Mus musculus: one gene and its partner. The protein of the gene in region 1 purifies or fractionates together with the protein of each later gene. This does not show direct contact. Links are inferred from orthologs where the notes say so. Each region holds a gene or a part of one and is shown in the gene's direction. Other genes may lie near its edges.

What was found. Proteins that work in one complex are often made in the same cells at the same time.
Region 2: the proteins of Mapk3 (region 1) and Dusp6 purify together in Homo sapiens (affinity purification with mass spectrometry; 7 studies listed by BioGRID and IntAct, with this or other methods). This does not show direct contact. The link is inferred for Mus musculus from reciprocal best matches to the Homo sapiens genes MAPK3 and DUSP6.

Annotation. Positions count from the first base shown.
Region 1 is NC_000073.6:126,762,119-126,766,734, forward strand, and holds the end of Mapk3 (mitogen-activated protein kinase 3), read left to right. Parts: intron 1-916; coding exon 917-1,106; intron 1,107-1,279; coding exon 1,280-1,396; intron 1,397-1,622; coding exon 1,623-1,737; intron 1,738-2,115; coding exon 2,116-2,247; intron 2,248-2,415; coding exon 2,416-2,525; intron 2,526-2,604; coding exon 2,605-2,727; 3' UTR 2,728-2,759; intron 2,760-3,121; 3' UTR 3,122-3,698; downstream 3,699-4,616. Other genes in the region: lysophospholipase D GDPD3, read left to right, coding at 4,353-4,491.
Region 2 is NC_000076.6:99,261,365-99,266,536, forward strand, and holds the start of Dusp6 (dual specificity protein phosphatase 6), read left to right. Parts: upstream 1-1,866; 5' UTR 1,867-2,327; coding exon 2,328-2,727; intron 2,728-3,179; coding exon 3,180-3,617; intron 3,618-4,627; coding exon 4,628-4,935; 3' UTR 4,936-5,172. UniProt on the Homo sapiens protein: Dual specificity protein phosphatase, which mediates dephosphorylation and inactivation of MAP kinases. Has a specificity for the ERK family. Plays an important role in alleviating chronic postoperative pain.

The DNA of each region.
Region 1 (4,616 bases):
CAGGGATCCAACTGCCTTTGCCTTGGGGGTGACACCAGCCCCAGTTTACATGTCTTCTATAGAAGACAGTTCAGACTTCAGTTTTTTTTTTTTTTTTTTTAAGAAAGTTTCACAGTGTATCCCTGGTTGGCCTCAGGCTAACTTTGTAGACCAGACTGGCTTTAAACTTCTAGGCAATCCTCTAGCCCCTGCCTCCCAAGTGCTGAGATTATAGGAGTGAGGTGCTCTACCCAGCTCCTGACTATTCTTCCAAAGATAAGCCATTTGTTTTTGCTTAATCTTTGTTTTACCTTCAAGTATAAAAGGACTCTTAGTTCCCCACCTTCTGGTGTATGGTCAAGCGCTCTGTGGGAGCGCACTGTTGGGGAGTGTCTTCCTCACTTTCTGGCACAAATCATCCCCATAAGGCAGGCATTTATTTTTAAGCAAACAGTTACTGTGTGCCAGATGGTATTCGTGCATTATCTCGTTTAACCCACTCAACAGCCGCATGGCTCTGCCCGTGGAGTAACAACACTACTTCTTGTTTGCTTCTCCGAGAGCATTTTCTGCTCACAGCCACCCTCTGAAGAACACTTACTCTCCCTGCTTGTCAGATCAGGAGACTAAGGTGTGGACAGGTTAAGAGCACGGGGCTGTGGAGGCAGCGTGGGGACTTCAGGCATGAGTGGGTTAACTCAGAGCTCCCATTCTTCCTACGCCTCCCACTACCGCCCATCAGCACTCTCATTCGCCCAGTAGGGAAACTGAGGGCCCAGAATAGATGTGCCTTGCACACTGTCAGCTCCGAGCCTTGTGAAGCTCGACCCAGGGACCCTCGCTGGAAGGAATACCTGAGCTCCTCGTCAGAGCCCATTTTCCTTAACGAAGTATCTCCTACTCCCCCCGACGTGGGGGTCTCTGGAGTCCTCCTCAGTTACATTGTTCAGGACCTCATGGAGACAGACCTGTACAAGCTGCTTAAAAGCCAGCAGCTGAGCAATGACCACATCTGCTACTTCCTCTACCAGATCCTCCGGGGCCTCAAGTATATACACTCAGCCAATGTGCTGCACCGGGACCTGAAGCCTTCCAATCTGCTTATCAACACCACCTGCGACCTTAAGGTCAGAGGTTAAATGCCTCCCTCCCTCTCCTTCCCTGGTCCTGGGGCCTCTGGGTGGCTAGCAAGAGCAGCCTTGGAACGTGGCAAGCAAGAACAAAACAGTCAGGGCAGGGGCACTTCCTAGGCCGGGGAAGCCTTGGGCAATGTAGTTCAGTGGCCTGGGTTTGATTCCAGATCTGTGATTTTGGCCTGGCCCGGATTGCTGACCCTGAGCACGACCACACTGGCTTTCTGACGGAGTATGTGGCCACACGCTGGTACCGAGCCCCAGAGATCATGCTTAATTCCAAGGTAGGAGAGTTTCCCATGTCTGCGAGGGAGTCCTAGAGCCATCTCAGGGCCTAGGCACAATCCCGCTGACCCTTGGGCCTTAGCAAGATGTAGAGAGTAGAGTTTTCCTCGGCTCTGTCCTCTGCCCTTTGCTGTGTTAGATCTAAGTTGGATATGGTGCCTGTCCCAAATACTGGGAATGGCCCTGATGAGGCTGGCCGGGAAGCTCAGCACACTTTCCCCCTAGGGCTACACCAAATCCATCGACATCTGGTCTGTGGGCTGCATTCTGGCTGAGATGCTCTCCAACCGGCCCATCTTCCCCGGCAAGCACTACCTGGACCAGCTCAACCACATTCTAGGTGCGAGGGCCTGTCTGGCCGAGAGGGGTGGGGGTTAGCTTCTCAGAGGTGACATTTCTGGAGGGTGAGAATTAGGTACCACATATGGAGCCTCCTCCAGCATCTCACGGTATTTCTTCCCATTTGAAAGCTGGGGAAAGCAAGGCTAAGCCGTACCCCTGAGAAGACTGCAGCCAGAGTCTGAGCCCAGGGCTCCCTGGTTCTCCGCTCTCTGCCCTTCGTCGCTACCCCAGTGGGTAGATGGGGAGGACTGGCGGCACGTGGCTGGGCTTGGGCTCCTGGCGGCACGTGGCTGGGCTTGGGCTCCTGGTCTTGCTTCCTGACCTGTTGCCAGAAGGAGGACTGATCTTCTCACCAAGACAACTGGTTTCTCCGCAGGTATCTTGGGTTCCCCATCCCAGGAGGACCTTAATTGCATCATTAACATGAAGGCCCGAAACTACCTGCAGTCTCTGCCCTCGAAAACCAAGGTGGCTTGGGCCAAGCTCTTTCCTAAATCTGACTCCAAAGGTGAGTGAAGCAGAGGATCCGGGGTAGGCTAAAACCCAGCGGCAAAGAAGAGTGTGTGACCCTAACGCCTGCCTCAGTAGATAGCCACCCCCCCCAGGCACTGGACAAGGGATGTCCATGGGATTCCTTTAGCCTTCCTCCTGACTGCTGCCCCCTGCCTTGCCTTAGCTCTTGACCTGCTGGACCGGATGTTAACCTTCAACCCAAACAAGCGCATCACAGTAGAGGAAGCGCTGGCTCACCCTTACCTGGAACAGTACTACGATCCGACAGATGAGGTGAGCCGGTCACCAGCGGCGGGGAGGGGGGCTAGTATCCCAAGTGCCCAGCCTGGGCCTCACCGTCTTTGCCCCCTAGCCAGTGGCCGAGGAGCCATTCACCTTCGACATGGAGCTGGATGACCTCCCCAAGGAGCGGCTGAAGGAGTTGATCTTCCAGGAGACAGCCCGCTTCCAGCCAGGGGCGCCAGAGGGCCCCTAACAAGAACAGACACCCCTGTCCTTTTGGATCTGGTGAGTGCCTCCCAAGGCCCCCCCGCACAGCCACATCCCAGTCAGAGGCTGTCCAGTCTGGGTGCTGCTGCATCATCTCTGCATATCCACATGTGGTAACAACAAAGGGCCAGGGTCATGTATGAGCGAGCATCCTCCAGCCCATCCGGATGAGAGATCCGCCCCTTATGAGCAGCCACTCCAGGCCTTGCCAGAGTATATCATGATGCTTTGAGAGGAGCCTATAATCACAGTAGCACTTGGTGGCTGCTCTTGTTAGCTGCAGATAAGGAAGCCAAGACCCACAGAACTTGACAGTTCAAAGACGCTGGGGTCAGGGCTCACCCCGCTGACCATTCCTTTCTGTCCGTTTCTTCCTTCAGGTCCTGCTCCTACCTGCTCCTTCTCTGCAGATTGTTAGAAAGTGAACTTTGCTCAACCCAGACCCCGGCAGCCCAGGCTGGACCAAGGGTGGGCCTGGCCACCTTCTCTCACTTTGCTGGGGTCTCCTGCTTCAAGCAGGCTTCTCCCACTCCAATCCCCTGCCCCATCTCCCCATAGCCTGAGTGATGAGGTGGCCCCAGAGCTGATCTCTGCTGCTGTGTCTTTATCTACCCTTGCTAGCCCCGGCTCTGGTAGACCGTTCTGGAATGGAGGGGCTATGATCGTCCTAGGACCTGTGCTACGGAGGGGTGGAGGGCACTGAGTAGGGCTCTGCCCTATTCATCTTGTTGGAACCCCACCCCATTTTCCCTGACAGAACATTCCTAAGTCTCAAGGGCTAGTTTCCCTGAGGAGCCCAGGCCTAACCCTCTCTCTCTCAAGCTGCCACATGTAACGCCCTTGCTGCTTCTGTGTGTGGGTGATTGGATGTGGGGGTGGGGCCCGTGGAGAGCCGGTGCCCCTCCCCATCTCCCCGTGCCTGTATCTAATATATAAATATAGAGATGTGTATATGGATGAGCCTGCCTCTGTCTGTGTATGTCGACGCGACCCCAGCATACCGCACTCACAACTGCCCCCTGCCTCCAGCTGTGGCTTTACATGGCCCTGGTAGTCTTTGGCTCCAGCTGGCCAGGGATGAGGTTGGGTTCTAAGGAGTGTCAGTCTCTGGGAAGGGGTCAGTTTCCCTTTAGTCACTGTCTTCCCTAACAACTTCCTGTTTAACTGCTTGGAGTGAGTTGGGGTGACTCAGGGGTACCTTACACACCCCCAAATTCCCGGGAAGTGGCAAATGTGTAATAAGTTACAGATCCTGTCCACAAACACCTATGGGAGGCAGAAAGATCTAAACACTAGGGGGTGGGGCTGCTTAACCCCCCCCCCCACATGGTCAAGAACAAAAGGGGGTGCTGGGATCTGTGAAAGGTCTCTGGACATGGAACCCAGGGCTGCCTGCCTCAGTTCCTGTGCCTGGCCCCAGCTCTGGGCCATACTGCAGTCTGGCCACGTTCCAGCAGCACCCAGCAGGCTCAGCAGGTCCATGGGCGTGGCGCTGCCCGGTGGAGGAGCCAGCCTACACTGGCTGAGCAGGCAGGCTCGGCCCCGGGCATCAGAGCCCTTTGGGACAGGGAAGGCTGTGCTTTTGACAGAAGCCTGCCGTGGAGCGAGGCTATGATCCCTCTCCTGTACTTTGTTCTGCCCACCCTGGGCAGTTACGTCATGCTCTCCATCTTCTTCCTGCGCCGACCTCATCTGCTGCACACGCCGCGGGCTCCCGTCTTCCCTATCCGCCTGGCTGCCCACCGTGGAGGTGAGCTGAGTCAGGGAGGTGGAAGGGCTGGAATCCATGTAGGGTGGAGTGAGCCTAACAAGACAGGTGTCAGGGTGGGCAGCCCATCCTCAAGGTGCAAGGCATGATTGAATGTTAAAAAGAGC
Region 2 (5,172 bases), on another chromosome or scaffold:
AACGCTCCTTCTGGGGCGCCTGCCTGCGGGAGGGCTCCAAAATTGGCTACTTGGACCTCCAAGTCGCCCTGTTTTAGCCCACATTTCCCAAACCCCGGAAGAGGCGGGTGATTAAAAATGCAAATTGCTTTGCGGGCGACAGTAGGTAGGACCCGGCTGCGAGGCGCTGGGCTGGGGAGATCCCGTGACCTTAGACGCCCTCCGCGCCCCGGATTCGGGAAGGGCCGCAGCCGGCGCTTCCGCCTCCCGGTCGCGGCCGGACAAAGCCCAGCTCCTTTCCCTGGGACCCGAGGGGCTGACCGGATCGGGACGCGCGCCTTCCGCAGGGCCCGCCGTCGCCGCACACAGGTGGTTTTCCGTCCGGGAGGGGCGGCCTCTGCACTTTTATATAACAATAGAACCGAGCGCGCCGGGGATGCGCTCTTGTCGCCGTCGCGGCCCCCGCCGGCCACGCCTCCATCCGGCTCCGGTGCCGCCTCCGTCCTGAGTTGCCTGCGGGTGGTGCCCATGAGACTTCCCAACCCTAACTCTGGAACCATGGGGTCCAGACAGGGACACCTCTGGCTCCTTTTCCGCTCCAGGTCTCTCACTAGGCGACGGTTCCGCGACGGCCTTACAAGCGATCACGGGGTCGTCGCGTGTCCTGCCCCCCCCCCCCCATCCCCCAGAGCAGCAATGCTGCGGCCAAAGCGCAGCGCGCAAGCGCGTTTGGAGCTGCTAGCGTGCTCCTTGCGGGGCCCGGGGACCGCTGCAGCCTAGAAAGGATAGGGGACCGGCCTCTGTCCACAACCGCCACTGTTTACGCTTGAGTTCCCGCAGGCTTGCAGGTCTCCGGGGTGCAGGAAACGTTGGTGAGGCCTGTCGTCCCAGGCACCTAACCTAGGCTGCCTTGCCAGACCGGTTCCTCTTAGAAACCAAACTCTGCTCTTGGCTCCAGATCGTTAAAGGAGCTCGACTCCCCAGGCTCGATGGGTGACCGGTGATGGTGGTGGGGAGCAAGATCTCCGGAACAATGGCTCAGAATGCCCCCACTTCACCGGAGCAGAAGAAAAGTGCAGGGATAGCTGACAAGGTTTTGGGTGCTTACACCACCCGCCCCCCCCCCTCCGCTGCCGCCAAGAAAGTTGAGAAAGCCCGGGGTTGGGGCGCTTCTGGTTTTCTGGACAACCAAACGCTTGTTTGCTTAGTTGCTTTAAAATGTTTCAACAAAACACTAGTTTGTTTCTAGAGATGTTGGATTAGCATTTAACACTTCGTTGGGTCGCTAAAGCCCAGGCAGTCCACCAGTCCCAACACAGCCTCGCCTAAAAGGACATTAGAACAAACAGAACTAGACTTTTAAAAGAGCCAAACAAATGCCACACACGATCTAAAGGAGGACCGGGTTGGGGGTGGGGGAGCAGGGGCGGCGCTATGGCGGGCTTGGATCTAGCGTTAAAGAGAATTAAAAAGGGGGAAAACCCCTCAAGTTTTATTAAGGCTAACTTAAGATTGTAAGCGTCGCGAATAAGGGCTTTTGTGCTTGCTAATTGCACTACTGGTGCGCAAGAGTTAGACGCGAAGTGTGAACTCTAAACAGAAGGAAACACGAGACAACTTTAGTGCCCTGGTTTATGTGCCCTGCTCCTCCTCCACCGCCGCCTCCTCTTCTTTCTCCTTCCTCCCGCCGAGCCCGCAGTTGCAGCTTGTTTGCACTGGGGCTTATCCGGAGCGGAAATTCCTTTCCGTTTTTGTGAATGACAAACTCATTAACAATTCATCAACACAACCTGTTCCAGCCGGCCCGTCCCCACGGCAACAGCCCCTTCCGCAGCGCGCTCATTGGCTGACCGAGAGAATGTATCCATTGAGACGCTGGCTGTTTGTATCCATTGAGGAGCTGCCTCGCACAGGGGGTGTGCTCTCGCGGAGTCCTAGGGACTGTGAGCAAACCCAGTCTTGAATAATCCGGCGAGAAACACCGGGTTGGATCCGAGGTGCAGCCTCAGAGGGAAGGATTAAGAGCCGCTAGACTTTTTTTCTTTTCCCTTTTTCTCCTCTCAGTGGCACGGAGTCCGAATTAATTGGATTTCATTCACTGGGTAGGAACAAAACTGGGCACCTTCATTCAGAGAGAGAGATTCATTGACTCGGAGAGTGATCTGGTGCAGAGGGACCACCGACTTGACTTCTGTGTCGCTTTCCCTAACCGCTAGCCTCGGCTTGGGAAAGGCGAGGCGGAATCAAACCCCGCTCCGAGAGCGGGAGCTTCGCGCAGCGTGCTCGGCCTATGCCTGCCTCGAGGGGCGTCTGCTAGGCACCCCGCCTTCTCCTGCAGCTCGACCCCCATGATAGATACGCTCAGACCCGTGCCCTTCGCGTCGGAAATGGCGATCTGCAAGACGGTGTCGTGGCTCAACGAGCAGCTGGAGCTGGGCAACGAACGGCTTCTGCTGATGGACTGCCGACCACAGGAGCTGTACGAGTCGTCACACATCGAATCTGCCATTAATGTGGCCATCCCCGGCATCATGCTGCGGCGTCTGCAGAAGGGCAACCTGCCCGTGCGTGCGCTCTTCACGCGCTGCGAGGACCGGGACCGCTTTACCAGGCGCTGCGGCACCGACACCGTGGTGCTGTACGACGAGAATAGCAGCGACTGGAATGAGAACACTGGTGGAGAGTCGGTCCTCGGGCTGCTGCTCAAGAAACTCAAAGACGAGGGCTGCCGGGCGTTCTACCTGGAAGGTATGTTGTGCGCCCCGGGTGCAGGGCTCCGGGCTGGGACTGCAGGCTGGGGAAAATGTTAGCGAGGTAGCGATCGCCGCTTGCATTGCGCTTAGGGGAGCTAGCTGGGCCACCGTGGTAGCTTCTCCTTCAAGGGTTAATCAGGCACCTTTCTTTGGGTAGGTGTAGGATTAAGGTTCACAAGAGCTGGAAACGTAGTTCAGGGTGCAGCTTGGCACCTCGCAGCTCCTCGAAATATTAAGAAAAGTAATCTTGTGCATTTCCAGATTCAGGAGAATAAGTGTTCCCAGGGTAAGCAGCGGGTAGTGTTCCTAAAGGTGCGCATTGAAGCGTGCTTCTACCACTGCCGGGGGTTCCTAGGGTGCCTGTCCATAGTGTTCTTTGTGCTTCTCACTAGCTGTAAATTACTACAGCTTCTCCGGTTACAAGATTGCTTTTCTTGTTTCTGGCAGGTGGCTTCAGTAAGTTCCAGGCCGAGTTCGCCCTGCACTGCGAGACCAATCTAGACGGCTCGTGCAGCAGCAGTTCCCCGCCTTTGCCAGTGCTGGGGCTCGGGGGCCTGCGGATCAGCTCGGACTCTTCCTCGGACATTGAGTCTGACCTTGACCGAGACCCCAATAGTGCAACGGACTCTGATGGCAGCCCGCTGTCCAACAGCCAGCCTTCCTTCCCGGTGGAGATTTTGCCCTTCCTTTACCTGGGCTGTGCCAAGGACTCGACCAACTTGGACGTGTTGGAAGAGTTTGGCATCAAGTACATCTTGAATGTCACCCCCAATTTGCCCAATCTGTTTGAGAATGCGGGCGAGTTCAAATACAAGCAAATTCCTATCTCGGATCACTGGAGCCAAAACCTGTCCCAGTTTTTCCCTGAGGCCATTTCTTTCATAGGTGAGACTAATTTACAGTCATTCATAGAGTTGAAGATCTTAATCTGTTTTCCTGCAGGCTGTTTTGCTGGACTGCAGGTCTTCTACTGTCTTTAAGAGTGTTAATTCTTGTTTACCTTCTTGCTTAAAGGGAAAACAGGGCCCGTTGACGTAGCAGATCGGGGGACTATTTGAGCCATTTAATTCATACTTTTAAAAGGAGGCTGTTCCAATCAGCCATGTTTTCCTTATCTCTAGACGACAGGATGTGAGAGGAGAGTGAGTTAAAAGCACTCACTTGCAGACAAGAATTCTAGTATTGCATTATAATTAAAAAAATATATCTAGGAGTTATTTTAGGACACCCAAGTTAGTTGTTGGAAAGCAGTTTGAATACTAGCTGTTACCTAGCTGAGTGATACTGCAGGGTACTGGTTACTGTGAGCCTCTGGGTAACCTGATCCCCCGCAGGAAGGACTGTGGGCTGAGAGCCTAAGAGAAGCGAAGCTCCAGGCATTGTAGTGCATTTCCTATTACAAAGGAACTCATTTTCAGGCCATGTAGACATCCTGTTCCTTCTAATGGGCTGTCCCCTGTGACTTCCCTCTCTCTTTTAAAATGCCTGAATACCCCCATTGTTAGCTGCACAACAGTTGGGAGAATAATTTAATAGACCCTTGCAGTCTGCTTGGTCTGTATGAGAGGCATTCAGGACCGGATTGCAGGGTTTCTGGTATTCACAAGTTGAGGCAAGGAATGTACACACATTAAGGAGTTTTTTTGTTGTTAGAAACTTACTACAAAAGCTCCCTTTACAGGAAATAATCTGAAATATGTGATTGTGTTCAGTGTGCATGTTTATCTCCCGTTATACATTTTCTGGTGCCTTCGGGGGCTTAGTTGCCACATATAATTGTTGTTTACTATTCCTTCTGAATTCAGACTTCAGGCTAAGCATTTTGCAAAGGCTTGGTTCCTTTTTTTTTTTCCAGTCTAGTGAACTCTTGCCTTTTTTTGTGTGTGTTCCCGCAGATGAAGCCCGAGGCAAAAACTGTGGTGTCCTGGTGCATTGCTTGGCAGGTATCAGCCGCTCTGTCACCGTGACAGTGGCGTACCTCATGCAGAAGCTCAACCTGTCCATGAACGATGCTTACGACATTGTTAAGATGAAGAAGTCCAACATCTCCCCCAACTTCAACTTCATGGGCCAGCTGCTTGACTTCGAAAGGACCCTGGGACTGAGCAGCCCTTGTGACAACCGTGTCCCCACTCCGCAGCTGTACTTCACCACGCCCTCCAACCAGAACGTCTACCAGGTGGACTCCCTGCAGTCTACGTGAAAGGCACCCACCTCTCCTAGCCGGGAGTTGTCCCCATTCCTTCAGTTCCTCTTGAGCAGCATCGACCAGGCTGCTTTCTTTCTGTGTGTGGCCCCGGGTGTCAAAAGTGTCACCAGCTGTCTGTGTTAGACAAGGTTGCCAAGTGCAAAATTGGTTATTACGGAGGGAGAGATTTGCTCCATTCATTGTTTTTTTGGAAGGACAGGACATGCTGTCTCTAGATCCAGCAATAGGTTT